Linked DNA regions of Tamandua tetradactyla. The protein of the gene in region 1 interacts with the protein of each later gene in a pairwise test. Links are inferred from orthologs where the notes say so. Each region holds a gene or a part of one and is shown in the gene's direction. Other genes may lie near its edges.

Evidence for each region.
Region 2: the proteins of TPM3 (region 1) and KXD1 interact in binary tests that used the Homo sapiens proteins (3 or more experiments, as listed by UniProt). The two-hybrid records come from large-scale screens. The link is inferred for Tamandua tetradactyla from reciprocal best matches to the Homo sapiens genes TPM3 and KXD1.
Region 3: the proteins of TPM3 (region 1) and SYCE1 interact in binary tests that used the Homo sapiens proteins (3 or more experiments, as listed by UniProt). The two-hybrid records come from large-scale screens. The link is inferred for Tamandua tetradactyla from reciprocal best matches to the Homo sapiens genes TPM3 and SYCE1.
Region 4: the proteins of TPM3 (region 1) and LCA5L interact in binary tests that used the Homo sapiens proteins (3 or more experiments, as listed by UniProt). The two-hybrid records come from large-scale screens. The link is inferred for Tamandua tetradactyla from reciprocal best matches to the Homo sapiens genes TPM3 and LCA5L.

What each region holds. Positions count from the first base shown.
Region 1 is NC_135330.1:7,154,258-7,161,669, reverse strand, and holds the start of TPM3 (tropomyosin alpha-3 chain), read left to right. Parts: upstream 1-4,394; 5' UTR 4,395-4,477; coding exon 4,478-4,594; intron 4,595-5,174; coding exon 5,175-5,300; intron 5,301-5,467; exon of another isoform or gene 5,468-7,412. UniProt on the Homo sapiens protein: Binds to actin filaments in muscle and non-muscle cells. Plays a central role, in association with the troponin complex, in the calcium dependent regulation of vertebrate striated muscle contraction.
Region 2 is NC_135337.1:96,084,577-96,092,495, reverse strand, and holds the start of KXD1 (kxDL motif-containing protein 1), read left to right. Parts: upstream 1-4,900; 5' UTR 4,901-5,010; intron 5,011-5,198; exon of another isoform or gene 5,199-5,712; intron 5,713-7,497; 5' UTR 7,498-7,518; coding exon 7,519-7,619; intron 7,620-7,919.
Region 3 is NC_135339.1:96,812,026-96,819,195, forward strand, and holds the start of SYCE1 (synaptonemal complex central element protein 1), read left to right. Parts: upstream 1-4,164; 5' UTR 4,165-4,222; coding exon 4,223-4,301; intron 4,302-7,170. UniProt on the Homo sapiens protein: Major component of the transverse central element of synaptonemal complexes (SCS), formed between homologous chromosomes during meiotic prophase. Requires SYCP1 in order to be incorporated into the central element.
Region 4 is NC_135336.1:102,196,871-102,204,574, forward strand, and holds the start of LCA5L (lebercilin-like protein), read left to right. Parts: upstream 1-4,683; 5' UTR 4,684-4,772; exon of another isoform or gene 4,773-4,911; intron 4,912-4,917; exon of another isoform or gene 4,918-5,189; intron 5,190-7,704.

The sequences.
Region 1 (7,412 bases):
GTCACAACAAATAGGAGGTGAGTTTCAGGAGACAAAGCCACACACAGCCTGAATTTAACCCACAAATCTGTATGAGTCTCCCATCCTTTCTGCCCGTTCCCCTGCCCTCTATTTTTCAGCAGGCCTATATTGCCTTCACCTCCTCTCTTATCCTCCTATGTATCTGTATCCCAGGCTGTTCTTTGCTTTTCATATAAGTAGTGTAGCTTGGTCAGAAAAACAGATTTTAACATTGAACATATCTGGGTTTGAATCCTAGCTCTGTCACTGGCTGTGTGGTCTTAACTTTTTGGGTCACAGTTGCTTATATGTAAAATGGAGATTATTTCTACCTCATTGGGTTGCAATGGAGACTATATAAAGCAGTTAGCGGGGAGGTGGCACATAATGTCAAATAATGGTAACCCATGATGATGTCTTCCTGCCCTATAATAATGTTCTGTTATTTCCTTTTCATTACCTGGCTGCTCCTACCTAAACCACATTCCTCAGGAACCTCTTTTATTCCTCTGTTCCTCTTTCCTTTGTTCATCTGGACATGCAGAATACCCCACCCCATCTGCCTTGATCCCTGACCTTGGCCTCTCTCCCCAGGGCTTGTCAATGCCAGGCTAGCTCCAGTATTGGCAGGCTGCCCCTCCCAGAGAGCCCCTCTCCTCTGATTCTATTGCTCTACTCTGTCTGCTCTCATCAAATCAACGAAGTAGTTCACCTTCTCATGCCCAGCCAGCCCTTCTTCCATCTGAAACTAGTGCCTTCACCCAGCTTCTCTGGCTCAAAAGGGTTCAGTCTTGTTTGACATGGCTGCAGAAGAGGACCTTGCAGGAGAGCTAGACAACTTTCAAGTCCATCTGATGTGTCTGCCTTGTATGCCGTCCAGTCAAAGTCTCCTTCCTCTAAGAGAGTTGCTCCCCCCCACCTCCGTATTCCCAGGCTGTCCCTCCAGTCCCCCATTTCCCTGAACACTAAAGTCCTTTCATTTCCTTTCCCAGCCTGCCTCCCTTTAACCTCTGGTTATCCAATGTGGTCAAAGTTCTCCGAGAAGGGAATTAGAAATTGGGGGGTGGGTTAGGGAAAGGGAGGGCAAGAAAGCAAAAATTACATGCACCCCCATTGGGAGCCATGAAGGAACAAGGATATAAGAGAACATCACAGGAAAAAAAAAAAAAAAGGGAGAACACCACAGGACAACATCCATGATTAACGGTACAAATATTAAAAAGTACTTTCATGAACTAAAGCAGATAATAATAGAGGGGTATATGGAAAAAAATGTACCTATTACGAACTATGGACTACAGTTAATAGCAATTTTTAATATTTTTTCATAAACAGTAACAAATGTACCACACTAACACTATGGGTCAATAATCTGTGAGGATAAGGAGTATGGGAGGTTTAAGGTTTTCTTTTTTCTTTTTATTTCTTTACTGGGTAACGAAAATGTTCTGAATTTGATCATGGGGCTGTACACACAACCATGTGATGATGCTGTGAATCAGTGATTGTGTACTTCTGATGGGTTCTGTGCTGTATGAATGTATCGCAATAAAATTGCATTAAAAAAAAAAGAGAGAGAGAGAATACCACAAGTGCCTAGCTGGGTGCTGTTAGTCTTCCCCTGGAGGGCAAGAGCCACACAACAGAAATTGACTGGGGCTTGGGGCAGGGTATTGATCCAGTTGAAGGGCAGGGGAGAGCTGGTGTGGGGAAGGAGGGGCAATGGGTATCTGCACTAATGGGAACAAGGACACATGGAACAGGCCCTGAGGCTGCAGCACAGCCTCCTCCCCCATCCCCACACTTCTACCCCAGACCCCCACCCCACCCCCACATACTGGTATAACCCGTGATCCTTTCTGCCACAGTGTAGAGAAGCATCTGCCTGCCACATGACATTCAACAGATCTGATTCTCTTCGGAAGGAAAATCCCCCAGAAGGAAACCAGGCCAGATCCCTGTGAGGGAACACCCTTGGAGAAAGCAGCCCCGGCACTGGTGTTCTTGTGGCAAAAAGTCCTGAAGAAGAGAAGAGGAGGAGGGTCCCAAGGACTTCAGGCTGCTCCCTGGTAGAGGGGGTTTCTTTCCCTTGGTCTCTTAGTCTTAGTTTTGATCCTGCCAGGCAGTGGAAACCCTAAGTTTTCTCCTCTGAGCTTAGGTTGGAGGCTGCCAAACTTGGAGAGATGCTTGTGAGACTAGTTACTCCTCTGTTTTGGACATCCAAGGGTGGTTTTAAGGAAGATGCCTGGAGGACATGGGGAGAAGGTGAGAAGGGACAAAATGTTGGAAAAAAGAAATCAAGCAATTGGGAATTTCTCTGGCTATTTCACTTAAGAGCAGGAGGATGCCAGAATGGACCTCAGCAGCCTTGTGGGGGTGATCTGGAAAGGTTAGGATTTCTATTGAAAAGATATAGCAGGGTATCAAGCCCCTCTGGGATGGAAAGCCTCGGGACACTTGGATTAGAGAGGAGGAGAGCAAGTCGCAGGCTGAGGAGAAGCTGCTGACACTGCTGATCCTCAGAGTCCTGCAGCCGTGACATGAGGGGGAGAAGCTCTGTGGAGCTTTTGAGGAGGATAGGTGCCCGGATGTGGAGCCCTGCCAGGTATCCTCCCTGGTATTAGGGCAACGTGATCCAGTAAAGGCCAGAGCAGTGGAAGGAGAGGAGCAAATGCAGGGATGGCATGAAGAGCTGATGAGCAAAAGCCAGCCATCTAGCTATGATCGATGCCTAGTTCACCTGCACTGCCTGTTCTTTGCAATAGGGAGGAAGGCAGATGACCACCAAAGCTTTCCTGCCCGCTTCTGTCTGATATGTTTGATATTGGGTTGTTTAATTAGAAACCAACTAAATGTCAAACATTCTTACAGCAGTTGGCGATTCAGCATTATACTTTATCCTACCTCAACCTCTGGGCTCTGTGATTCTTAGCTTTTTTAGTGAACCTCTTCTTTCCAGGACCCCTTCTGGATGACCGATTGCTAAAACCCATGATGATTTCAATCTTAAACAGAAGTGTTGATGTGGGAGTGGGATGACAAAGGTGATATAGCTCTTTTCCTTATCTCCTCCTGCCCTTGTATTTTTTTCCTCCTTATTCAACCCCCACCAGCCTGTCTCCCACCTTATCATTTGCTACTCCCTGGGACTCTTTTGTTCCCTACTTCCTTGGGCTTCTATGCTTTCCTTCAAGAAACATCTGATGATCAATTTATCTACTTTTAGTGACTGAAGCCCTCAGAAGTGGATTCCAGCTCTGCCATCTTCCCTGGAGGTCATCTCCGTTTCCCCATTGCTGGGGCTTAGCATTAACACTCTCAATCTAGCTTTGATATAATGACTAATTAGAGACATTTATATTCTCCCCTGATAGCTCTGGTCACCTTGAGCAGTGTCCACCTCTCCCCTGGCGTATTCTCAGGTTGGATGGCGCCAGTGTACTGGGATCAACTGCCACCTGTTAGCAAAAAGGTTCCAAGTGGAAGAATGAACATGCCCTGGAACTGAGCCAGGGAGCACAGAGCTGCTACTGCTGCTGATTGTGATATGAGTGGTGGGGGGTGGGGTGTACGAAGGGCAGAGGGTGAGGGGAAAGAAGAGTAGAGACCAGTAAAACCTTGGTCTGTATGGGCACAAAAGTTCTATTTAAAAGACACTATGAGAAGAAGAGGGTATTATCTTGTCGCGCCCACTCTGACCCTCCCCTGCTTCTCTCCCCACCCTACTTCAAGCTCTGGGATGGCCTTCCAGATTCCAACCTACCCTCTTACTCCATTCCTGTGGTTCTTCGGTGGGGGGTGGGTGGAGGGTGGAGGAAGATGTCCACGCCCCCCACCCCGCCATTTAGGGATTCCCAAAATAACACAGCAATTCGATCTGGGGATCTGGGGGATTTGTCAAGGATCATGAATGACCTCCCCTCTTCATTGTTGCCAAAGCTCCCTGACTACCAGAAATCAAATGATAAAAAAAAAAAACAGTGCAGTCTGATCAGTATCCAGCTCAGTCCGGGTGAGAGTAAGGGAGAAGCTGAGGGGCAATTAGGACTCTGGGTGAAAACTCAATGCCATTCTATAATTTCCAAAGTCCCCTTCTCTGATATCAATGCTATCTCTTCCCCTGGCCCTCTCCCTGCTCTTTTAAAACAACCATAGTGCTTCCCAGAATGAGTGGAAAGTTTCAGGGTTCAGGGAGAGCCTCCTCCCCCACTTTCCATTTTCTAAAATCAGCCTCAGCTGTTCCCAAATTTTTCTTTGCTGGTGATGTCAGTCTATCAAAGTGTCTCACCCTGTGTTCCCCCAGGAAAACAAAGATGGGATGGAGGGAGCTGGAAAGACCATGTTAGGAACAAGAGGTGGAGCTGAGAGCAGATATAAAGGCTCAAGTCTAGGCAACTCCTAGGTACTCAGGCAGCAGCCCCTCCTTTCTTGACCTAGTCTCCAATTCTCCAGGTGAGCCCACCAATAACCACCGCTCATGATGGAGGCCATCAAGAAAAAGATGCAGATGCTGAAGCTGGACAAGGAGAATGCTCTGGATCGGGCAGAGCAAGCTGAAGCCGAGCAGAAACAGGCAGAGGAAAGAAGTAAACAGGTAGGCACTGGCACTGGTCTCACTTACATGCTGGTCAACAAAATAGTGAGACGGGAGAGTTATCATGGGAAAGGAAGAGACCACTGTTGTCACCTTCTTCTTTGGGTAGGAGGGACTTTTTTCTCCAATCTCATTTGAAGGCCAGAGGACATCTGCCTCAAACTACCTGTGTGATGTTGGGAAAATCAGTGGCCCGTGCTAAGGATTTAAGTGGAATGGACCATCTTTTGGAAGAATCCCTGACTTTTAGAGGAAAAGGTGGGAGCCTGGCGTGCAGCATCTCTTTTTCCTTAAATGGAGTCACAGACATTTATACTCTTAGATAATATTTGCCATCCCAGGGTCTTAGATGAAAACCCAGCATGGCTTGGTCATCTTAGGGTCAGAGATTACAAAGACATAGGCCAAGTCATAGCATAACTCTTGGGGCAGGGGCTAAAAATGATGAGAGAGAAATTGTGTCTCTCTGGATAGTAAAATGGTGGCTGAACTCAAGAGTCTATTAGCGTTCAAGAGCCAAGAGTCCAAGGCTGCACTATTATGTATGTGTGTTTTTGTGTGTCTCTCTGGACTCCTGCAGCTGGAGGATGAGCTAGCAGCCATGCAGAAGAAGCTGAAAGGAACAGAGGATGAGCTGGACAAATATTCTGAGGCTTTGAAGGATGCCCAAGAGAAGCTGGAGCTGGCAGAGAAGAAGGCAGCTGATGTGAGTATTAGATGGGGGATGGTGTAATCTCTATATAAAGATGTTCACATTAATGTATGACTAAATTCCACACAGACTTCAACATATACATACTTGTATGTCCACAGAAGACAGAAATATATACTCGCTCATATCTTTGCATATAATAACATGCTAGAACACCCTCATAATGGTATATATATTTATTTTTTTAAGACATATAGAAATCTCATATTTTTTTTTATCTACCCTCATGCCTCCTGGAATTTAATTCTCTTTCCCAGGAACTAGACAAAGGGAAGGGACTCCAAGTCCAGGCTGCTGATACTCTTACCTCCTCCCCCATGCTACATTCTTAGCTTTTGTGTCCAAAACTTGGCACATAGATATGTGTATTAATAGGGAATCTCTCATCTCCCAGCTTCCCCCAAAACAGCTCAGATTTCACAATGGGCTTAAGAGGACACACTGACCCTGGCCCTGTATGGATTTATTTATCTTGGCCAATCTGGACATCTGTCCTCATGCCAGGAGATGCCATAAGGCAGCAGGGAGGTTCATATAGTGTTAGACTATAATAGAAGCTAAGAAGTAATCTTAGGGTATAAGGGTATCACCACCAGACTTTACTCTATGAACCTGAGTAAATCACTCAGCTTCTCAAGGGCTGAATTTTCCCATTTGAAAATGAAATAAATCCTCTTTTCCACTTCATATTATCCTCCATTCACCTAGCTTCCTTCATCTTCAACCTTGAAGTTTACCACAAAAATAAATGAGAGACTAGATAGGAAAGATTCCTGGGAGAAATGTACTTTAGGAATCTTAACAGTGACAGAAGAATATCGTAGTATTGATGGAAACAGTCAATTCTGAGGGAACTGAGTTAACAATTCTCAGAGAACTGAATTAACAGGAAAATAGGAGCATGTGTTACTTGAAAATCATATTTGGATTTGGGAACTAGCTAGAGGGACAGAGTGGGCATTCACAAATAAGTTCAGATCCTTACATTCAGCCATTTTGCTATTAGGTTTCAGATCTTCTCTTTCGATTTCCACTACTTTCAGTGCCTCTAGAAGTGGTAACAGTTGAATATATGATGCCACATAGAAAGTGGATAATATATATTATATATACCCATAGTTTCCAAATGTTTGGAGCTTTGCAAACCACTAATTATCCTTTCTTTAAAAACTGGAAGAAAAAAAAAAAAAACCCAGGGCTTTGGGCGAGTGCTTGATGATCTGCTAGAGTTGCCCGATCTTAGTTTCCAGATAGACTCCCTGGATCCAGTAAGCTGTCATGGGGATAGAAGCTCTCAAAAACTGCCACAATATTAGGTTAATAACATTTTTGTGAGATGTTGGGTATTAACTGTCTGAGAAAGTCCTTATGCTGAAACAGCTAGCATGTGTGCTTGAGATTTTTCCAGGAGTGATGAAAATAATAAAACCAAACAAGTCTAACCTGAGATCTTGGGAGAGGGAGAGGGAAAAAGAGGCTCTAGACAATATAGTCATATTATCAGAAAGATAAAGAAATTTCCTGGGGATGAATATTAACTGTTTCTCACACATACCACTCATACACACACACAACCACGTCACCCCAACCTAGATATGGTCAACTCAGTATATTCATTTGAAAGACGCCTCCTCACAATTATACAGGAATCTAACAAAAACCAATGACACATGTAGAGTGTGGGGACAAAACCTCTCTCCCCTGTGTTAATTTTCCCAACAGGCCAAGAAGTATTCTTAGAGATACGTGAGAGAACAAGAAATAGGACAGGAAGGTTGTGGGTATGAAGCCAAAGTCTGTTCGGGTGGGTTGAAAATGGAAGCAGGAAGAAAAGCCTTCTTTTCTCAAAGCGGGGGTTAGCACAGTTCTGCCTATGGGCTAAATAAGGAAGGGGCAATGGATTTAAAATGGAGAGCAAGAGTTAGAGTCATAATATACGCAGCATAATATATGCATCTTTGGGGGAACGATGCTCTGTCCAGTATAAAGGAAGTTAAAAGCTCAGCTTTTGCCCTTGAGATTAATAAGTAAATAGAGCATATTACCTTGTTGTAAATGTAAGGTGAAGGGAAGGAGGAGGAGGGAGTCAGTAACTGCATGTTTACT
Region 2 (7,919 bases), on another chromosome or scaffold:
ATAGCGCTGGGACACATCGGTGGTGTCAGGGGTCACACATGCTGCCCTCCTCACTTTCCGCGCATTGACCTCAGGTGCAAACTCACCAGTGTCAGGAGCCACGTCCTGCCATCACTGGGGTGGGGTGATTTGTCGCATCTCCCTGTCCAGCTGAACCTCTCATGACCATGGCATCTCTGGGCTTCTTGCCTGAGGGGACTTTGTCTGACACTCGAATGGCACCCCCACTCTCGGTGGGTTCACTTCCAAAGCCCCCAGACTTTTCCTTCCTGCCTTTCTGTAGTTTTACACGGTGCATGTGTGTGTTGTCGGCAGCCTCGGTCCAGCTTTGCTTTTTGTTCCAATCTGCCGATCTTTGTCTTTTAAATGGAGTTTTGGTCTGTTCACATTTAATGTAATTATGTGCACATCGAAGCTTCAAAATGCCTTCATGTTATGCATTTTCCTCTACTCCTTTTTTCTCTTCTTTTTTGCTTTCTTTTGGATTGGTGGAGTATGTTTTGGTAAGACTCTTATGACCGTCATCTCCCAGAAGGGGAAACTAAGGCACAAAGATGTTAATTACCTGGATCAAGGACACAGTGAGGAAGGGCAAGATGGGCCACACCCCTCCCCACCACTGAGCTTCCCTCCCAGCCAGGGCAGACAGATGTTATCCAAATGGTGGTGTCAATGAGTATTTAGTCTCAGCTGTGGTAAGTGTTACGGAGGAAATAAACTGGGGAAAAAGGCTTCCGGTCTCCAAACTTGGGCCTCCCCATTTCTGCTGAGCCAGAAAAGTCCGATTTTCAGCAGCTGGGACAAGGCTCTGGGCCTGGGACAACAAACCCGAAGCCAGACTGCGTTGGGGCCCGAGGACTGTGGTGAGGACCTGGGAGGGGAAGTTGATCTTCCACTTGGGGCAAATGAAAGACTTCCCCGTCCACCCCCACCTGGGCAGCTGCTGGCAGAGCAGCGTTCCCGCCACTTCCCACCCTCTCCCTTCAACACACAAAGGAGGAAAACCTTTTCTGGCCTCCACCCCGTGGTGCTCCAAGTATTAGGGGTTATCCAGGCCCATTAGGCCCCCAGCCCCGTTCCAAGACCCTCGTAAATGTTTCCTGGCCTCCAGCAGCGCCCAAGGGACCCATTGAGAAGTTTGGTCTCTCCAGCCTGGGCCTCTTCCGCTGCGGCCTGCAGACAGCCGTGGTTCCGTTTTCCAGGCAGCCCCCACCCCGGCTCCCCAGCCCATGTAGGCTGCTGCCTGGCTCACCAAGTTCCCCAATTCTTACAAAGGTCAAGTCCACACTATATATCTTCTCACCATCCTGCTTTTTATCCTGTGATTCCCTCAGCCCTGAATGACTGGCTGTGCCAGAGAGCTCCTATTCCTACCTCAAAACCCAGTCCCCATGTACAGCACCTCCTTGCAGCCTTCCTTGCCCCGACAATGAGCCCTCACTACCCACTGTCAGGCTCCTTCAACCTTGAGTCCCTTCCTCTAGCCCAGCGCTGATCCCCGTAAGGTGGGGGCACCTGGGCCTGATGGGGTCTCCCCTCCTCCTCCAGGGTTAGGCAGGGACGAAGCCCTCTAGGAACCCCAGCTCTTGGTTCACTTGGAGAGGGAGTAGCAGGGAGTCTTCATGAACAATGTTTAAACATATTCATTGAATAAATAAATGAGAATGCTGATCACTGACTTTTTTTGGGGGGAGGGGGTGCCCCGGGACACTCCGGGACCACAGTAGGGCCTGTGCAAGCACCGTTGAAGCAGGAGACCGCAGGTTGCCCCACCAAGAGGTGGGTCCCTGAGTGACTTCTCAGGGAACGAGTGGGGCAGAGCGTGAAGAGTAACGTTACCTAGTTAGCTCATCGAGGGCCACGGTGCACCGACCCCATCGTCCGCTCTTCCAGAACGAGTCCCTAGCACCCCTGCGAGGCAGATGCAAACGGGCACAGCACAGCTGACAGGCACAAGCCCTGCCCAAGGCCACCCAGCCAGGATGGGACGGCAGAGCTGGGAGAAGGCCTTGAGGGGAACCATTCCAGGGCCACAAGGCAATTCCTGCATCTGAAGATTCTTGTCTCCACATCTCCCCTCTCTCAGCAGCCGCAGGGGTGGACGCTGCATGTGTCCAGCCCACGATGAAGTGTGCTATGGGGCATATTATCTCAAGGATGACTGAAATTTAGTAGTAACACTTATCGAGCAATTCTTATTTGCCCGGTTTGGTTCATGCATTTAACCTGGGTGACCACACGTAAAAATGCATCTTCCCAGCTGCGTGCGGACACAGTCTTTAATATGGATACGAGGAGAGAGAGCAGGAAGGAAATAGAGGGGGCGTGTGCACAGGCTAGTCTCTGCATGTCTACGTCCCAGCTGGCAGGGCCTAGGAGCCCATCCAAGACCCAGGCCTGACTTCTAACACTCTTCTCCAGGAAAAGGATCGAGGCTTTTTGGAGAAATGGCTGATTCCAGGGCTATACCAAAGCCTGGAGCACCTTGTGGTGTCAGAAAAGTAAGGAAGAGAATGACAGGAACACGTGAAAAGGACACAGGTGTCAACTGGAAGAGGCAGCAAAGTAATTACAGGTAGCAATTACTTATAACCCATAGATGAAAATAAATGCCTATGGAGTAATAGTGCTATAAACAAATAATTGAAGGAGAAGGGCCACGGAATTTGAATAATCTCGGTACAAGGACTGATGGTAATCAAAAACCACCACGGGGCAAACAACTCAGTATTAACTGTTGCCGCAAGATCCGTTCCTGGGTGCCAAAATTAGTGGGGCATTTGCACCTGCCACATGTTTATAGTTTTAGCAGACACTGCTTTTTTTTGTTTTAAGGTATTAGAAAAGAAAATTGTTTCTCGAAGGCACGAGGATGCAAACAACATAAAATAAAAGCTTATCTAGCACTTTACTGACTTTTCTTTCATTACTTGTCAAATGGGAGTTGGATTTTATTTGTGCATATTTTGAGGACCCCAGTCTGTTATGAAATCCTTATGCAGGGGAAGCGTAGGGTAGATTCCTTACGTGACTCTGGGGATAATTCTTATGAAGGTAGAAGAATGTCACATAAGACACAAAAATTGAGCACTTCTTTCCCATCTGCTTCACTTGTACTGAAAAACAATCATTGCACACAATGGCGAGCCCAGGAATTAGCGAAAAGAAGTTCTGAAAGCCCACTTAGCCATCTCAAAACTGGACCAGATCCTTCGTTATTTTGTTCGCAGCCAGAAGGTCCTTTTTATTTTTCCAAAAATCTGGAGAACTCCTTTTCCATGAGTACTCTCAGGTCCTCCTTTAAGTAGCCTTTGTCTCCGGTATATCCGTGAAACGTAATCATCAGTTTCCATGGAGAGTTCGAGTCGAGATGGCATTTTGTGAGGTCTGCTGAAACCTTGGCAGGGAGGTACAGGGCGGCCGCTCGGGGAGCTGGGACGCGGAGCCAGTGACACGCTGCTTTGTAAGCAAGGACAGCACCATAAGCAGATACACCCACAGCCCGTGCCTCCTGCTGCGAGGTACCCAGAAGGCGACGAAAACGCACACCTGAAACACATCATCTCAACCTAATCCCGAGGGCAAACCCACACAGAGGGATACTCTGCAAAAAACTGAGCAGTACTCTTCAGAAGTATTAAGGTGAGGAAAGACGGAGAGCCTGGCGAACTGCCATTGACTGGAGAGGACAAGGGACACCTGGCACTCATTGCATGTGGCATCCAGGATGGGATCCCACACTAGAAAAGGATCACCTGAGGTGGCACAGGGATTCTTTCAGAAATATTTATTCTGGTAACACATACACAACCTGAAATATATAATTCGGTGGTGTTAATTATATAGTACACAATAATGTGCTTCATCACCACCACCCATTACCAAAACGTCTCCCTCACCCCAAACAGAAAGTCTGCACTAATGGAGCACTAACATAACTATAGTATGCTATCAAAGCCAGGAGGTTGATATTGGTACAATCCACAAACCTTATCCAGACTTCACCACTTTTACGCGCACTCATTTGTATATGTGTGTGTGCAATTTTAGCACGTATGTAGATTCGTGAAACCACCATAACAATGAAGATACAGAAATGTTCTATCATTACACAGATGGTTGTACTACCCCTTTATAGCCATACCAATCCCATTTAATTCTGCTCACGCTGGCTATCACTAATCTGTTCTCCACTCCTCGTTCCCTTCCCCCACCCAGGCCCCGGGGATCCTATATTCCAGTTTCTAACGCTATAAATTTGCTTATTCTAGTCATTTCACATCAGCATGATCATAAAATATTTGTCGTTTTGTGTCTGGCGCATCTCACGTAGCATGGCATCTTCAAGGCTCATCCGCGTTTCTGCGTTCCCTTAGAAGTCCCTTCCTTTCCACGGCTGCGTAATTCTCCATCCCGTGTACGCACCACGCTTGGCTTATCCATTCGTCTGTTGCGGACACTTGGGCTGCTTCCATCTTTGGGCTGTTGTGAATAACGTCGCTGTGAATATCCATGTGCAAATGTCTGTCTCAGCCTCTGCTTTGAAATCTTTGGAGCTTATACCCAAATGCGGGTCTGTCGGGTCACACAGCAATTCTACAGGAGCAGGGACTTTGGAACCCAGGCGAGGCTGACTCCCAGCCTGCAGGGCCGGATGCCCTGGTTCCGGAGCCGTGAGCGATCTCAGGGTAGCACCGGCCACTCTCGGACCGCAGGCTCTTCATCTGTGAGAAGGGATCAGCCCCGTTTCGCGCCTCCCCACTTCCGGGCTGTCTCGGAGCTGCAGCTGGGAATTGCGCAGGCGCGAGAGGGACCTCTTCATTGGCTCTTCACTCTGACGCACAGCGAACAGGGGATCGCGTCCAGCCCCGCCTCGCCGCGTCTCCGCGCACGACGCGCGCTGGCCTCGGGGCTCGTCGTTGACGCGCATCCTAGCATGCACGCACGGTGCGTGGTGACGTTCGGCGGCGCGGGCGCCATCCCGGAAACGCGAGCAAGGCCGCCAGATGTGTAGGTGCCGCCGCCGCCGCCGCTGGGGCGGGGTCGGGGTGGGGCCGGGGACGCCCGGGCCGGGGCCGCGGGGGAGCCGGGCGGGGTCGGCCTCGGTCCCCGGGCTGCCGCGGGGTGGGAGCGCCGCTGGCCACATCTGGGCTCCCCTCCTGCGCGCAGGCCTCAGTGTCCCCGTCTGCGCAGTGGGTGCGCACGGCGCGGGAATTGGGGATGCCTCCGTCCAGGCTCTGTCGGGCTTGGGCCTTAGTTTCCCTGTCTTGCAGGGGCGGGACCCGAGGGGAGGAGGGGATTCCGACCCACTCCGGGGTTTTTCTGACCTCGGGCCGCAAAGTCCCGGCTTTATTGCTCTCTAACCCAGGTGGCGTCGCGGTGCCTCCGCGCTTCGCCGCGTGACCTTGGGCAGTGAACCTGCGAGCCTCAGTTTCCCCCAGAGCACAGAGCGCCTGCCACAAGGGTTGATCGGGATTAACCGAAGTTCTGTACCAGCGTTTGCTTATATTCTTGGGAGCCCGGAGAGGGAGGGGCACTCGTTTAGGTGCTGGTTTCTGGGCCCCTCCCAGGACTGCATCAGACACCGCTCCCCACCCCACCCCGGCTCTGAGCCCCGCCTTTTACCTCCGTGGTTTACGTCCCCGCCGACGGCATCCTGAGAACCCCACTCTTCCTTAGTCTCATTTCGGATGAGAAAACCGATTCAGAGAGGTACAGCGACTTTGCCAAGCTCACACAGCCTCCCTCTCCACGTGTTACCCCCATAAATGTATTCTGAGCCCTGGCTGGATCATTTATCTTCTGTATGGTTAGTCAGGGAGGGCTTCCTGAGAGAGGCAGCTGGCGTTCGTGTGTGCACTTGCGGGCCGTGGCGCCAGAGGCAAGAAAGAACGTGAAATGGAACCAATCCCCATGGGTCCACACCCTGCCTCTACCAGGCATTAGCTGTGGCCATGGTACCCGGTCCTTGGACCCCAAGTCACTTTTCACACCATGGATAATTGGGCTTCTCTGGCAATGTGCGAATGTTTCTGCCCTTGCCTGTCACGTGGCAGGTCAGTCAACCCCTAGCAATGATTTGAGGGGCTTATTGAGGGGCGGGAGTAGGAGCGAGCCTCCATGGTGTTTTGGAAAGAATATATGTTAGTTACTAACATTTGTGAATGAGGTGATCAGATCGCCCAGAAAGAAATTTCTCTTTCCATTTTTTCTTGGGGGGAAAAAGTCAGAAGTCTGGCCCAGATTGCTGCAGGAAGCAGCTATGCACCACGGGTGGCCACTGGACACCTGTTTAGAGTCACACCTCTGTAGAGCCCGCAGGGCAGTGGGCATGGGGTTTGTGACGCCTGGGCCCACTGTTCTGTGGGACAAGGTCACGTTTTCAGCCTCTTCGAGCCTCCCTTTCCTTCTCCGTAAATAAGGACGTTAACAGTTCTCCGTGTGCGGTTTTGGTGCTGTGTTTGACATCCAGCAGGTGTCCAGTAAATGGGAGGGTGGACAGGCTCTGCGGACTGTGATCTTAACCAGCCCTGTCGGTCAGCCACTACATGTATGGGCCCCAGAGCTAAGCCAGCTGGGATTTCAGGCTTTTCCTACCCCCTCCAGGAGGGATGGCATGGAAACCGTGACCCTTCCTGTTCAAGGGCCTGGGAAGCAACCCTCAGCCTGAGTTTTGCCAGGGAAGATGGGTGCTGCACAGCTGGGTGGCCAGAGCCTGAAACCCTTGGCTTTAACTTGGTAATAAAACTCTTATGTCAGCTAAGTTCTGGGGAGCACTATGAGCCAGGTTCTGGGTCAGCCCTGGAGGCAGAGGAGCGAACAAGACAGATGTGGGTCCTTCCTGGGGCTGCCGTGGAGGCAGGGGCAGCAGACCAACAGGCCAGCTCAGGATGGAGATAATTTTTGGAATGAAGAGATCCAAACGAGGCCAAGTGATGAGGGGCAGGGTCGGGGTGGCCATGTAGGACTTCTTGGGGAGGAGTCCGTGGGGGTGAATGGTGATTCGAGGGGCCGCCGCGCACAGTCCAGCCATGGAAACAGCTAGCGCAGAGGCCCTGGAGCAGAGCAGGCAAGGGAGGCGGCTGACTGAGCTCCGCAGGCGAGAATGCCAGGGCCCTGGGGGCCGAGGAACTGGGAGGGGTCTGGGTGGGACGTGCCTGCGCAGCAGGACCTCCCCTGAAGACTGCCTGTGCAGCGGTGTGCTCCTCTCTGCCCCTGTCCATGTGGGTCCAGCTCCCCGACCTAGTGGGTCAGGGGCCGCGTGGCTCCATCATGACTGCGGCTTCGCGGACGGCAGCTGCAGAGGCCCTCCTTCCAGAGGAGGCCCCGTTTGCAACACTGGGTGCCAGGACTCTGATGTCTTTTGGGGGGACACAGTTCAGCCCAAAGCAACCTCCTCTAGTTCTCCTAACCCCCCCAAATTCCCAGCTGAGGCTCGGGGGCCTAGTGACGCCACCTGGGGCCTGGCACTGACCAGGCTCTTCCTGCCCATTCCAGGCAGCGAAGACAGAGGGAGGGATGGAGCCCCCGGACTCGGCCTCGAGGGTCTTCTGCAGCCGCATCCTGAACATGGTGGACGCGGACGACGTCAACGCCATCATCCAGGCCCAGAAGAACATGTGAGTGGCGGCCACGCGCCGGCCTGGAGTGGGGGCCCAGCCCCGCCCCTGTCCCAGGCCCGCGCTGGGGATAAAACGAAGGAAATGAGCAAATCTGCCTGGCTGGCTCCAGAGCGAACTCCTTGCAGGCCTGGAGGCGAGGCCTTGGCACGGGAAGCAGGGCCGGGGAAGGGTTGCAGCTGTGGATGGCTTGGCGTGGGCTGCCGAGACTCCTGTCCCAAGCCTGGGCTGGGGAGAGCTGGGGGGACAGCAGTGGGCCACTGGGGGGGTGAGGGAGTGGGAGAAAGCCGGTGAGCTGAC
Region 3 (7,170 bases), on another chromosome or scaffold:
AAGGATGCACTGATGGAGAAGTGGATTGGCGATCAATGGTGTATACTTATGAATGAAGGTTGTGCTGTTACAAAAAGGAACAAAGTCTTGAGGCATGCAACAATGTGAATGAACATGTGGGACATTTGGTGAGACAAAATAAGCCAGAAACAAAAGAATAAGAATGGTATGGTCACCTTTAGTAAATGTTTATAAGAACACAGGGGCCTAGATTATAAGCTTTAGAGCAGACACATTAAGTCCAGAGTGGTGATTATTATTTCTGTATTTTAAGAGGCTGTTTTATATATATAACCTGATGTTTAGAGATAAGAAAGAAGTTGAACAGATTTGGGTTAAAGTAATTTAGAAAATAGGGGTAAGGAAGACAGTGTTTATATTTTAGATGCACACATAGTCTTTGAGACCAATGGAACCGAAATTTTATGTAGGGCATAATCTAATTCAACCGATCTGTATAACTCATTTCAACAATTAAAAAACCAGGAGCCCAGAATAAGAAAGAGGGCCTATAATCTTGTACAGAATATTGTAATGCCTGGATACATCCTAGAGTATATTAAGCAGATAATCAAAAAGTACTGGTAAAGTCCCCTGAAGGAGGGAAGAAAGAATATGAAACTATTAAATCTTACCATCAGGGAGTGTCATTATACTGTGTCAAATTTTAGGGACACCCAACTCAATAGACCAAGCCCTCGATCATGAGGCTTACTCTTGTGAAGCTTAGGTATGTAGCAGAGAAGGTTAGACTACCTATAGGCATGCTAAGAGTTACTACTGGAGGACCTCTTTTGTTGCTCAGATGTGGCCTCACTTTCTCTAAGCAAGTGAAATCATTACCTTCCCCTCTACATGGGATATGACATTCAGGAGTGAAAGTCTCCCTGGCAATGTGGGAGATGACTCCCAGGGATGAATCTGGTCCTGGCATGATGTGATCAACAATCCCATGCTGACCAAAAGGGGGGAAAGAAGTGTAAAATATCAGTGGTAGAAAGAATTCAAATAGAGTCGAGAGACTACTCTGGAGGTTGCTCTTATGCAAGCTTCAGTTAGACCTTGCTACCTATCATAACCTGTCAACCTCCAACCAAGGCTATTCCAGCCAATCCTTAAGAACACCTATGGCAATATATAAGATTCCACAAGGGGTCCATGCACTAGAGTAACTTTCCATAAACCTACAACCTCCAGATGGGTCCCTGGTCCAGATAAGTCCTGAAACCTAGAGGGCCCAGCCTCTCCAGAACATCAGATAGTTCCATCTCCCTACCCCATATTAGTAACAGACCCTTCCAATATGAAAAAGTTAGAATGACCATAACCCAAACAACCCTAAAGAGAGGGTTGGAAAGATTAAAGGTAATGGTGGAGTTATACAGAGAAGATAGGATTTAACAAATGAATACGAATGCTGAATCATTAAATTGATGTCTCTTTTAGTCTCCAGTATTATAGAGTAGCTAGAAGTAAAAACCTAAAATTGTGGAATCGTAACCCATGTTAAACTCTGAAACATGTTTTACAACTAATTGTGGTGCTGTGCTTTGAATTTTATAGCTTTTTTGTATATATGTTATTTTTCACAAAAAAGGAAAAATAATCAATTGTGATAATAAAACAAATATTTAAGCCTTCTAGCCTCCTATATTCTGGAGTAGCTAGAAGGAAAAATTTGAGGGGATCGTATGGTAGCCCATGGCAAACTCTGGAATCTGACCTGTAACTACTTGTTGAGGAATGCTTTGAAAACTATTGCTTTTTTATTTCTTTGTATATATGTTATACTACACAATAAAAAAGTTAAAAAAAAATAAATACTAGGGCTGAAAACCATAATAACTAAAATTAAAAATTCCTCAGAGTGGTTCAACAGCAGATTGGAGCTGGCAGAAGAAAAAAACAGTGAACTTGAAGATGTGACAATTAATATTGTACAATCTAAGGAGCAGAAACAAAGAAAACTGAACAAAGCCTAAGAGTCCAGTAGGAGGCCATCAAACATACCAATTGTGCCAGTTTGAAAATGTTGTGTACCCCAGAAAAACCATGTTATTTAATATGGTTGGGTGTGATCTTTTTTATTAAGTTGTTTCCATGGAGATGTGATCCACACAATTGTGGGTGGGATGCTTTGACTATGTGGTTTCCATGGAGATGTACTCCACCCATTCAAGGTGGCGTGCTCACTGCAGTCCTCTAAGCAGGAACCATTTTGGGAAAAGCTTCAAAGCCAATAGACAAAGACGTTTGGAGATGCAGAAAGAAAATGCCCCTGGCTAAGTCATTTGAAACCAAAAGCTGAACGGCCAGCAGATGTCAGCCACACGTCTTCCCAGATCAGCCTTTCTTGAGTCAAGTTACCTTTCTCTGGATACCTTAGTTCATCTCTTTTTTTATGGCCTTAGGACTATAAACTTGTAACTTAATAAATTCTCTTTATAATAGCCAACCCATTTCTGGCACATTGCATTAACAAACTAAAACATCACTATAAGTATTATGGGAATCACAGAAGGAGAAAAAGAGAGGAGGCAGAAAGAACATTCAAGAAACTTCCCAAATTTAATGAGAGACAATCACAATGAACTTCAAACAGGATAAACCCAAAGAGAGCCACAAGACACACTGTAATTAAATTGCTGAATGCCAAAGGAAAAAAAGGAGGATCCTTAAAGCTGCAACAGAGAGGTAATATATCATGTACAAGGCTCCCTCAGTAAGATTAAGTACCAATTTCTAATCAGAAACCATTGGGGTCAAAAAGCAAGGGGATAACAAAGTTCAGTAAAAAAAAAAAAAAGTTGCCAGCTAAGGATTCTATACCTAGCAATTGAATTGCTATATCTAGCAATTCAAAACTTAATACAAACTATGCCCTTGTGCCAGTACAAAACAGTGTTGTACTGGCACAAGGACATGCCTATTGAGCACTAGAATAAAATTGAGTTCAGAAGTAAATCCACACATGACAGGGGTGTCAAGTCCACTTAATGGGGAAAGAATAGTCTCTTCATAAATGGTACTGGAACAACTGGACAATGTTTGATAAGTGCTACCTGCAGTTGCATATTAGTCTAACCTACATATATGGAAAGCTGGGGGGGGGTGCTCTTAGAACATTTGTTAAGTGTCAGGTGACTGCAGCCCACAGATGAGCAGATTGAGGTCCTTCAATCCTGTACCACTCACACCCAGGTCCCACAATCTACGTTAATTAACTAACGTGCAGAAACATTAATTTAACCTCCAGGCATGGCCAAGAGGCAGCCCTAGAAGGGGTTGGGGTGGCTCTGCCACCCTCTAATCCTCATCCCTCTCCCAGCCCTGCCGGTGATCTCCTCCTTGGAGCTCCACCTGCCTCAGGCCCCAGGTGACCACCTCCTGCACCACATGAAGGAGGACACGCTCCACAACCTGCTGAAGCACTGCACCACTGCCCAGGAGTCTGACCCCAGGCAGCTACTTGCCGGGTTTCCAGAGGGAAGCTCATGGGGGCCAAGTGGGGAGCCAAGGGCTTTCTGTTCGTAGCCCCTCTCTCCAGACCCAGCATGGGGGTGTCCGGGACCCTGTGGCCGACGCTGATGGGGGGATGCATGGCAGGGGGACCATGCACCAGGTGAACGTCAGGACCCCCAGGCACGCGCCTGGCTTGTGGAAACTTTGGACCCCATTTCCCTTCCTCTGCATGCCCACTGGATGATGTCTCGCGCCTGACTCTCTAGCCCTGCACCAGGGCTCGGCCTTCTGACTGAACTTCCAATTCGGGTGTTCCTTCGTCCCTCCCGCGTTCCTCTGCTTCCTCTGCTCCTGCCGAGAGGCAGCGCCATCAGAGCTTGTGGTTTAAAGACTGATAAGGTGAGACAGGTACATTCTGGCCTGTATGGTCCGGGCAGAACACTCGTCATGTCTGAGCCGTGCTGAAGTCCAGAATTTTCACGCACGGAATGAAGATACCACCCACGAGGAAGAATATGGGCAGAGAGCTGCGCACATGCACAGTAGTGCAACACCAGCGTGGAAGATTGGCGCGGCCGGCAGTAGTGTCCATGCGCAGGACACTGACTGTCAACTGGCCAGTGCTGGCTCGGCCCTCGCGCAGGCCCGGAACCAACACCCTCGGCTCCTGAGGCTGCACTGCGCAGGCGTGCTGCGGCCGTCCCGCCCCCACGAGGGTGGGGCCCAATCATCACGTGAGGCACCAACGGGTAGGACGGAAATGGCGGAAATGGCGGGAAGGTCGGGGCCTTCGAGCGCGGAGCCCACAGGAGCCGTGGACAGCGTGGAGCCAGCTGGAGGTAGTGGTGTGGAGGCGGCGAGGCCCTCCTTGGGAACTGGGCTTGGGAAGGGGCTCGGGGCACCAGGCGCCGGCGGAGGGGCGGGAGGCATCCCCTGCTCTCTCCAGATGGAAGCCACGTTTGTGGGAAGCCTCGGCTGTTCCACAAATGGGAGGCACATTTACCCACATTCCTCCCACCTGGATTTAACTCATTATTTGATCCAGATTTTGCTCAAGACGTCGTTTCATTTCTTTCCTAAGAATTTCCGTTCGTACCTCTTAAAATAAAGAACTCTCTCTTCTCCTGCCGCACTTAAGGGAATGAATAATTCCCGTTATCTTCATCTCACAACCAACCGGTATCCAAATTCTCCTCTTTATCCCATAGTGGCTCTTACACGTGGATTTCCTCCCACGGAGTCCCTCTTTTCTTCCTGACACTGACCAGAGTGACGGCACTCCCCTTGTCCAGGGAAAGAGGGACATGGCAGCCCCTTTAATTTGTTCAGAAGTTCAGAGATCGCAGCCCAGCAGAGTAGAGAATTGAAAACTTCTCCCCCTGCTATTGGGTGTTTTGTGGGGATTTCAGATGTATGTAACATGGAATTGTGCAGTGACTCCCACATGAGGTCACTTGTTGACCCTGTCAGGTTGGCTCGCGCTCCACCCGTTCAGGCACATTGAGGTGCTTTGTCAATGCAGGTGGCGGTCGCTCCCTCCGAACTTGCTTACAACAGAGCCTGCTTCGCACATTTACACATAAATATTTGAACAGTGAGGTGAGTTTAGCACAAAGCTGGCTTAGGATACAGCATGGCACCCTACCACAGCCCTCCTCTAAGGACAACAGAAAAGAAACAAGACAGATGCATGTATATCCCTTTTATTATGCAGCTGCAGTGATTGCCACTGTCCTAAAGAAGACTTTTGGTATTTCTCTTTCCAGTTCCTCAAATAAGCTGACATATTTGCATGAAGATTTAATCAACTTTACCATCAATGGAAGAAATTTAAAAGAAAGTGAGATTCTGTTTTCAGTTCATCAGATTGTTTCAAAGAGAGCAGGGGTGCTATCTAGTGTCACAGGTCTTCACATACAAGCTGGTGGGAAAAACAGTAGGTAAAGACTATGCAGTAGCCCGTCTGGTAAAATTTTTAGCATTTAAATAACTTGTTTGCCTTTTAGTCACTGTGTTAGTCAGGTTTCTCTTGAGAAAGTCACCTTCCTAGGGATCACACAAGACACAGATCCATGTACCAAAAACAGTGCTGGAGCCTTGCTCTTCATAGCAAAACATGGGAATGGAATGGCTAAATCCAAGTATACACATGCACACCATGAAATACCTGGGCATTAGATTTCTAAAATGAGGAAGAAACATAATTAAAGTCAAATGTATTGGACTTAATTTTTACATTATATATATTTATAATGGATACAGGAAGTTAAAAGATATGAGAAGAAAGCAAGTTGGAAAATTGTGTTAATTGTACCCCAGTTTCCATTTCACAGGAAAGTGTCTGCTGAGACCTATGTTCCTAATTGATGACTCTGGGAAGGGGATTTGGATTTGCGGGTGTGTGTGCAGAAGTGGAGGGACATTTTCAATGTCATTGTTTGATTTTTCTGTTAGGGAAATGTGGGTAGTACTTGTGGAATTTTAAAGTGGAAAGGAGAAAGAGAAATTTTTTAATGGTATTTAAAGATCAGATATTAATAACACTGTTAATTTCTTGGATTTGATTGTTGTATTGTAGTTTCCACATAGGAAAATGTTCTTGACCTTCAGAACTTCACAGTGGAGTATTAAAGGGTAATGGGACATTGTGTGTGCATCTTATTGTCAAAGATTCAAAAATATTAGCCAGTGAGAAATTGAGGTGAAGGGTATAAAGGATCTCTGTGTCCTACTTCTGCAATTTTCATATAAATTTGAAATTATTTCAAAATAAAAAGTTAAAAGGAGAGGGCTCATACTGTACAAGTGTTTGGTTTTAATTTTTTTAATTGTAGTAACATATAATTAACATAAAATTTGCCCTGTTAACCTCTTATAAGTGTACAATCCAATGGCAGTAATTATTCTTATAATGTATTACCATCACTACCATCCATGGGCAAACCTTGTCAACACCCCAAATGCGAACTCTGTACCCATTAAGAATAACCTCCAATTTCCCTTCCTCTATCCCCTAGTAATCTGTATTTGATTTTCTGTCTCCATGAATTTGCTTATTCCAGATATTTCATGTAAGTGGATCATACAATATTTGCCCTTTTGTGTCTGTCTTATTTTACTTAGCATAATATTTTCAAGGTTCAACCATGGCATGTATAAGAAACTTTATTCCTTTTTATGGTTGAATAATATTCCATCAACTGTCTATACCACTTTTGTTTATCCATTCATCTATCAACACTTGGGCTGTTTCCATCTTTTGTCTTTTTTGAATAATGCTGCTATTATTCACAACATAATATTAAAATTACTGCCATATTCAACATATACATTGGTAAATGTTTATACATTTATGGAACAGGTAAATATCTGAGTCCTTGTTTTTGATTCTTTTGGATATATACCTAGAAGTGGAATTTCTGGGTCATATTTTAACTTTTTGAGGATCTGACAAACTGTTTTCAACAATGGCTGCAGTGTTTCACGTTCCTACCAGCAATGCAGGAAGGTTCAAATTTTTTTACATCCTTGTTGCACATCCAACACTTCTTATTTTTCATGTTTTGAATTCTAGCCATCCTACTGGGTGTATCTCCTTGTGGTTTTGATTTGCATTTACATAATGATTAATGATGTTGGGTACCTTTTCATGTTCTTGTTGGCCATTTTTATATCTTCTTTGGAAAATGTCTATTCCAGCCCTTTGCC
Region 4 (7,704 bases), on another chromosome or scaffold:
TATAACTGATGATGACATTTTTTTAATAATTCTACTATTTTTTAACATTAGTTACATTTGTTACAATCAATGAAAGATCATTGAAGTAGTACTATAACTATTGTCCATAGTGTATGTACGGATATTTTTCTTACATAAATAAATAAAAATGAAGACACAATATACCAAAACTTATGATATATGGGTAAAGTCGTGCTTAGAGGGAAATTTATAGCTATAAATGTCTATATTAAGAAAGAGGAATGATCTCATCAACAATCTAACCGTCCACATTAAGATAATGGAAAAAGAAGAGCAAACTAAATGAAAGAAAGCAGAAGGAAGGAAATAATAAAGATTGGTGTGAAATTAGTGAAATATAGAATAAAAAGCAAAGAAAAATTAAATGAATTTTTAAAAATCTACATAATTGATGAACCTTTAGCTAGATTGGCCAAGGGAAATAGAAGGCTCAAATTACTAGAATCCAGAAGTGAAAAAGGAAACATTGCTATCAATTTTATAGAAATGAAAAGGATTATGAGAATACAGTGTTATGCAAACAAATTAGGTAAATCAGATAAAATGGACAAATTCTTAGAAAGACAAAAACTACCAAATTTGACACAAGAAGAAATAAGCATTCTGCAGAGACCTACAAAAAAGTGAGGAAAATAAAAAAAATTACCCCCACACACAAAAAAACACCCAGGCCCAAATGGCTTTATTGCTGAATTCTATCAAACATTTAAAGAACTAACACCAATTATTCACAAACTGTTTCAAAAAGAGGAAGAGAAGGGAACAATTTCCAATTCATTTTATGAGGTCAGTATTACCCTGATACTAAAATCAGACAAAGATATCACAGGAAAAGAAAACTACAGGCCAATATCGCTTATATTTATGTGCACAATTATCCTAAAGAAAAGTCTATCACACCAAGTCCAGTAAAATATAAAAAGAATTACACATTGTAACAAAGCAGTATTTATTCCAGGGATTGAAGGTTGGTTAAACACCTGGAAACCAATTAATACATACTTCATATTAACAGAATTTTTTAAATCACAGGGTCATCTCAATAGACACACAACAAGCATTTGACAAAACCCAACACCCTTTCATGATAAAAACACCCAGTGAACTAAGAATAGAAGGAAACATCCTCAACCTAATAAAACACATCTATGAAAAAAACAGAGCTAACATTATACTTAATGATTGAAGATTGATGTTTTCCCCCCTAATATCAGCAACAACACAGGGCTATCCATTCTTGCCACTTATATTCAACACTGTACCGGAGGTTCTAGCCAGGTCAATTAGGCAAGAAAAAAAAAATGTATCCAAATCAGAAAAGAAGTAAAACTACTTTATTCCCAAATGGCATGATCTTCTGTATAGAAAATCCCAAGGAACCCAATAAAAAGAACAAACAAACAAGTTCTGCAAGGTTGTGGGATAAAAGATCAATAAACACAAACTGTATTTTATAAATTTGCAATGAAGAATCTGAAAATGAAATTAAGAAAATTCCATTCACAATAGCATCAAATACTGAGAATAAATTTTAAAAAGGAAATGCTAAGCTTATACCCTGAAAACAACACATTGTTTAAAGAAATTAAAGAAAATTTACATAAATGTGAAAACATCCCATGTTCATGTATTGGAAGCTTAACATTGTTAAGATAGCAACACTCCCCAAAATTACCTACAAATTCATCACAATCCCTATCAGAATTCCAGCTGACTTCTTCGTGCAAACTGACAAGTTGATTCTAAAATTCATATGGGGAACCACAATAGCCAAAACACCTTGAAAATGAAGAACAAAGTAGGAGGATTCACACTTTACAATTGCAACACTTAGTATAAAGCAATGGCAATCAGAATGCTGTGGTACTGTCACAAGGGGTAAACATATGCATCAATGGAGCAGAGCTGAGAGTCCAGAAATAAAGCTATACACCTTTGGTCAATAAAGGCACCAAAATCATTCGTTAGGGAAAGAATCATCTTTTCAACAGAGTGATGGCTGGTTAGATACAAGAAAAGAAAAAAAAAGAAGAAGAATATGGACCCTTATCTCAGTATTATATAGAAACAAATAACTCAAAATGGTCAAAGACTGTAAGGTTTAAAACTTTTAAAAGAAAACATAGGCATAAATCTCTGTGACCTTGCACTGGCAATGAATTCTTAGCTAGGACACCAGAAGCATGAGGAACAAAAGAATATAAATTAATTGAACTTCAATTAAAATTAAAAGCATTTGTGCTTCAAAGAGCACCATTAAAAAAATACAAGGACAATTGACGAATGCGAAAAAATATTTGCAAATCCTATATCTGAAAAGAGACATATATCTAGAATGTATAAAGAAACACTTCCAACCCAATAATAAAAAGAGAAATGACCTACCCTGAAAAGAGGCAAAGGATCTGAACACGTATTTGTTCAAGGAAGATATTCAATGGCCAACAGGCATTCAAAAATAGGCTCAACATCATTAGTGTCCTGGGAAATGCAAATCAAAACCACAAACACCCATTGGGATGATTATAATTAAAGGAAAATAAGTGTTAACAACATGGAGAAATCAGAATCCCCACAAACTGCTGGGGGGAATGTAAAATGATGCAGCCACTTTGGAAAACTGTCTAGCAGTTCCTCAAATAATTATACACGGAGTTATCACATGATCCAGCAATTCCAAGCCTAGGTATATTCCTAAGAGAAATGAAACATTAATTCCACACAAAAACTTCAACGTAAATGTTCATAGCAGAATTATTCATAATAGCCAACAGGTGAAAACAACCCTAATACCTATTTATGGATGGATGGATAAAGAAAATGTGGTATATCCATACAATGTAACATTATCCAGCCATGGAAGAATGAAGTACTGATACGTTGTACAGTGTGGATAAACATTGTTCTGGTTTGCTAGTTGCCGAAAAGCAACACACCAGAGAGGGACTGGTCTACAATAAAAGGGGATTTATTTCGTTAGTTCTTGAGAGGAAAGGCAACTAACTTTCAACTGAGGTTCTTTCTTATGTGGGAAGGCACAGGGTGATCTCTGCTGGCCTTCTCTCTGGGCCTCTGGGTTCCAACAACTTTCCCCGAGGTGGTTTCTTTCTACATCTCCAAAGGCCTGGGCTGAGCTGCGAGTGCTGAGATGAGGTATGCTGAGCTGCTTGGGCTGTGGTTGCGCTCTCTTGTTTAAGCACCAGACAATTAAATCAAACATCATTCATTGCAGCAGGCACGCCTCCTAGCCAACTGCAGATGTAATGAACAACAGATCAGGTTCACCTACCAGTGGCTCATGTCCACAGGAACAGAACTAGGTGCCTTCACCTGGCCAGGTTGACAACTAAGTCTAACTACCACAAACATCATAATACATTTTCCTAAGTGAGAGAAGCCAGTCAGAAAAGTCCACATTACATGATTCTATTCAAACGGAAGTCTTCACCAAAGGAATAGGGATATCTATAGGGCACGATATAGATGCTTAGGGCTCTGGGAATGGGAGTTTATGGGAGGATACGAATGTGATGATGGTTTGTATATGAACATACTAAAAACCAGTGAAGTATACACTTTAAGTGGATTAAAGCTGTTTTGTAAAACTGGGCAAAAGGCAGGAAAAGGTAAATCACAAAATAAGTACAAGCGGCCAATAAAGATATGAAAAAATCCTCCCTAGTAATCAAAGTGAATGCAATTAAGATGACAACTTTTCACTATTAATTGGACAAAGTTATTTAAAAGGGAAAAGATAGTTCCCAATATGGGCCAAGAGCGGGCTCCTCTACTGCTTGAACTGGCACTTGCCTGGAAGGCCGTTTTGGCGTACCTTCAAAGGCATATTCTTACCCTACAATTTCACATGCACGAATTTATCCTAAGGAAATAGTCTTGGGTTAACTGAAAGACTCATCTGCAAGAATATGCAGCACTGATACAATGCCCAAAAATTTAAAAACATACGAATGTTCATAAATTATGTCCCATCCATACGCACTCATTAAAACTCAGCTATAATCCGATCATGTGAGGACCTTTTTTCTTTGTACTTTTCTGTACATTCTAAATTTTCTACACCAAACAGCCCTTGTTTTGTGGTCGAGTTTCTGGAGTCTTTGTTTTTCTAAAAAAAAAAAAGCCCTCAGGAGAGCAAACCGTCTTCCTGAAAGTGTGAGTTAAAGGAAGGAGCTCTCGGATCTGGGTCCAGTTCCTCCCCAGGCAGAGGACCAGAGGTCTACACCCGCCCGCTTCTGGAAGCCTACTTGAAGAGCTCCATTATCGAGGGTTCACCCCCTTCTCAGCTAGAAACTAGGTGTCTATACTCGCGTCCTAACGTGGGCCACCTAAAGTTAGGCAGGTCCGAAGGCAACGCCGGACCCGGGTTCGAAACACCGGAGTGCGTGGGCGAGAGCGGCTCAGCAGATGAACAAACGGGAGGCTCCCTGGTCGCTCCAGGTGAGGCCAGGGTGAAGGAGCGGAGACGGGAAACTCAGTCACAGACGTCCGGACACTCACATGACTTCATCTTCTCCAAAGAAAAGCTCGAGGCTTGACTCACTCGCTCACCCACGCAAAACGCAATTTAGCGCCGCAGCTCCATGAACCGAGGAACTGGCACTCAGTACGCATGCGCGCGCCCCGCCGTGCCGCCGGCCGGTCCCAGAAGGCCCCGCGCGTCGGTTTCCATGGCGATGCGCGCGCGCCCGATGTCGCGGGGTTGGCGCTGCCGCCGGAGTCGCGCGTTGCAGGTAACGGCGCCGCCGCCTCTGCCCCCAGCTCGCCGTTCTGGTCCGAATTTCCGGCTAAACTTTATTTCTGGGTCTTTCGGCGTCGCCCGGTCACCCAGCCCTAGTCCAGCTCGACCTCGCTCCCGCGTGTCACCTACAGGTGAACATAGCCGGGTCGTCCCGCCATTTCCTCTTGCGGAGCGCTGCTTGCTGAAGAGCAGCCTTTGGCGCGCCCCTCCCTGTTCAGAAAGTTTGACCGGTGCCCTGCACGACGGGCGCCAACTGGCCCTTGAACCCGACTGCAGACGGACTGGGCAACCCTGAGCGTTCGGGCAGGCAGATGGTGGTGACCCGAAGTGACTCTGCGCGAACTGGGCGGTGCCCTGGCCACGGCGAGGGGAAGGCCAAGGCCCTGGGGTTTGTGGCCCAGGGTCAGAGGTAACTGTGGCCCGAGGTTTACCCTCTTTTCCCTGTTCGTAGGCTTTCGCCAGTATTTTTCTTTTCTGTTTGAATCTCGTACCTTCAAGTTTGCTTTTATGTAATTTTTGCTTTGTTTTGCTTTTCATTTGAACCTTAAGGCTGACATTTGTCGATGCCCGCACTTGGAAATCCTAGTTCTTAGCAGTGTCTTCTTTCTGTGCTCCTAACCTGCTTAGCCTTGCACCCTTTTGTCCACAGTTTCTTCTTTAGTGTGCACCATCTCGTTGCCACTTTATGCCAACAGTTAGCTTTTTTCAAGACCAGTCGTCATTGCCTGACAGGACCTTGCATCTTTTTTTAATCTACAGTGATCCCTAAAGGAATGTATCCAGTATCAAGGACTCAAAACACCTCTAATTGCTCCTGAGCTCCTAAAGCGTATCTCCAGTGCACGTTTCCCCAGACCCGTGTGCCTACCCACAGCTCTACTTAAATGTCTACCATCTCAAACTCAGCGTGTCCCAGGCAGCTGCTGATATTCCCCAGAGCTGCTCCCCTTACAGTCTTAACCCACTTGAGTCACTGGAAACCATCCTTCCAGTTGGGCCTTGGTGACCTCCTCTATTTTTTTCACTCCCCACATTGTCTTCAGGCCACCATGATTTGGTGGTCTCCATGCTTATGTTTTTCCCTGTCCCCAACTTCAGCATTAACAGTCTTATACTATATTCCCTTTCTCTATCTCTTTCATATAAATAAGTAATATATATATATATGAATTTTTATAGTTCCTATAGATAAAACTACAATATTTTTAATCAGTATTTTGAGAATTGCAACTTCTAAACCAGGTAGATAAACTTGCCTAATATATAAGCACCTTAGTATTAACAGGCTAAAATTGAAAGATGTCCCTTAGCTTTTTTAGGTATAAATATGACACTGTTGCTGGAACAGACTATGGCAAGGGCTTTGCAGTTGACTAAGGAAGAATAAAATCCAGAGCCTTCTTCCAAGTGGGAAGGAGTCATGTAGGTATTTAGACTCTGTCCTGTACTCTTTCTTTAAATAATCACCCAAAGAGGCATCTTGAGATGGAGGCAAGTGATGGTTCCCAGGCTGCACACTGGACCCTAGTGAGTGAGTCACGGAGTTGATGCAGTGATCCATGTAACAGGCCACTCCTCCCAGGAAGCTGTTGGCCCTCATACCCCTACACTTGCCAGTCTCTTTTATCCAGTCCCCTGTTTTTTCTCTTTTTCCGTTGGGTTAATCCCTTATTGACCAAAGTAACCCAGTAGGATTGCTGCAACTTGCTGAGGGTCTGTAGGAGGTTACGGATCATGAACTTCCACTTTACTCAAATCTCATCTCCCACCTTGCCCTTATGCTGTCACTTCATAGAGAAACTTAAAGCTCTCAGAAATACACTCACTCTCCAGTTACCAAAACTGCAGGCCTTACCTACATCTGTAACATCTTTGCTTCCTTCCCTCTGCCTGTCCAAGATCACTCCTTACCTATGCTTTGGATTCCATCCCCTCCCACTGGCCAAAACCCTGCATGATCAATTACCCAATCTCTCCCCTGTGTATTCACCAGTTCCATCTCAACCAAATCTCTCCCGTGGCTTTTAAACATGCTCAAACTTCCCATCACAGAACAAAGAGAATAAAGAATCTCTCTTTTCATCCCCTTTTGGTTTCCAGTTATTGCCCAATCTCTCCTCCCTTTTGGTAGGCAAACGTATTCTAAAGAATGGCCACACTTGGTGCATCTATTCCTTGTCTCATTCCTCAGCCCTCTCTAGTCTGGCCTCTACCCTCATCACTATTCTAAAACAAAAACCACTAATCACACAGACATTTCCAGACTCTGTCTCCCTCTGATTCTCGGCAGCATTCGACACCACTGCATTAGATTTGAAACACTCCTTCACTTGGCTTCTGCATCCCACACTCATGCTTTTCCTGCTTGCACTCTGGTTCTCCCTTCTCCTCTGGGCTGCTCTAATATTGCAGTCCTTAAAGCTCAGTTTTCCTTCTCACTCTTCTCAGGCCTCCTATATTCTGACTTGAAGAACAAATCCCTGCCCATAGCTTTTAATGCCATCTATTTGTCCTTGATTCCCAACTTCATCTCCAACTTGACCTTCTTTTTTGAGCTTGATCACCATATATTCACCTAGCTGAATGGCATTGCCTCTTAATATCTCTGAGACACCTCCACCTCCACATGCACAAGGCTAACCATTCTCCCTGCTGGCACCCCACCCCTCACTGAGACCGCTTCCACTGTAACTAGATTCGTCCTTGATACCTCCCTTCCCCTCACCCCAATACCCAATGGGTCACCAACCGATGGTGGCTTTGTCTCTTGTGCATCTTTCTCATCTCTTCATCCTCACTTGGCACCTTGGTTCAAGCTCCTGCTTTCCCTCGCCAGACCTTCTGCAATTCTTGACTTAACTGGTCTCCCCTTCTCCCTGACTTTTTTCAACTCTACTCCCCACACTGCAGCCAGAGTAACCTCT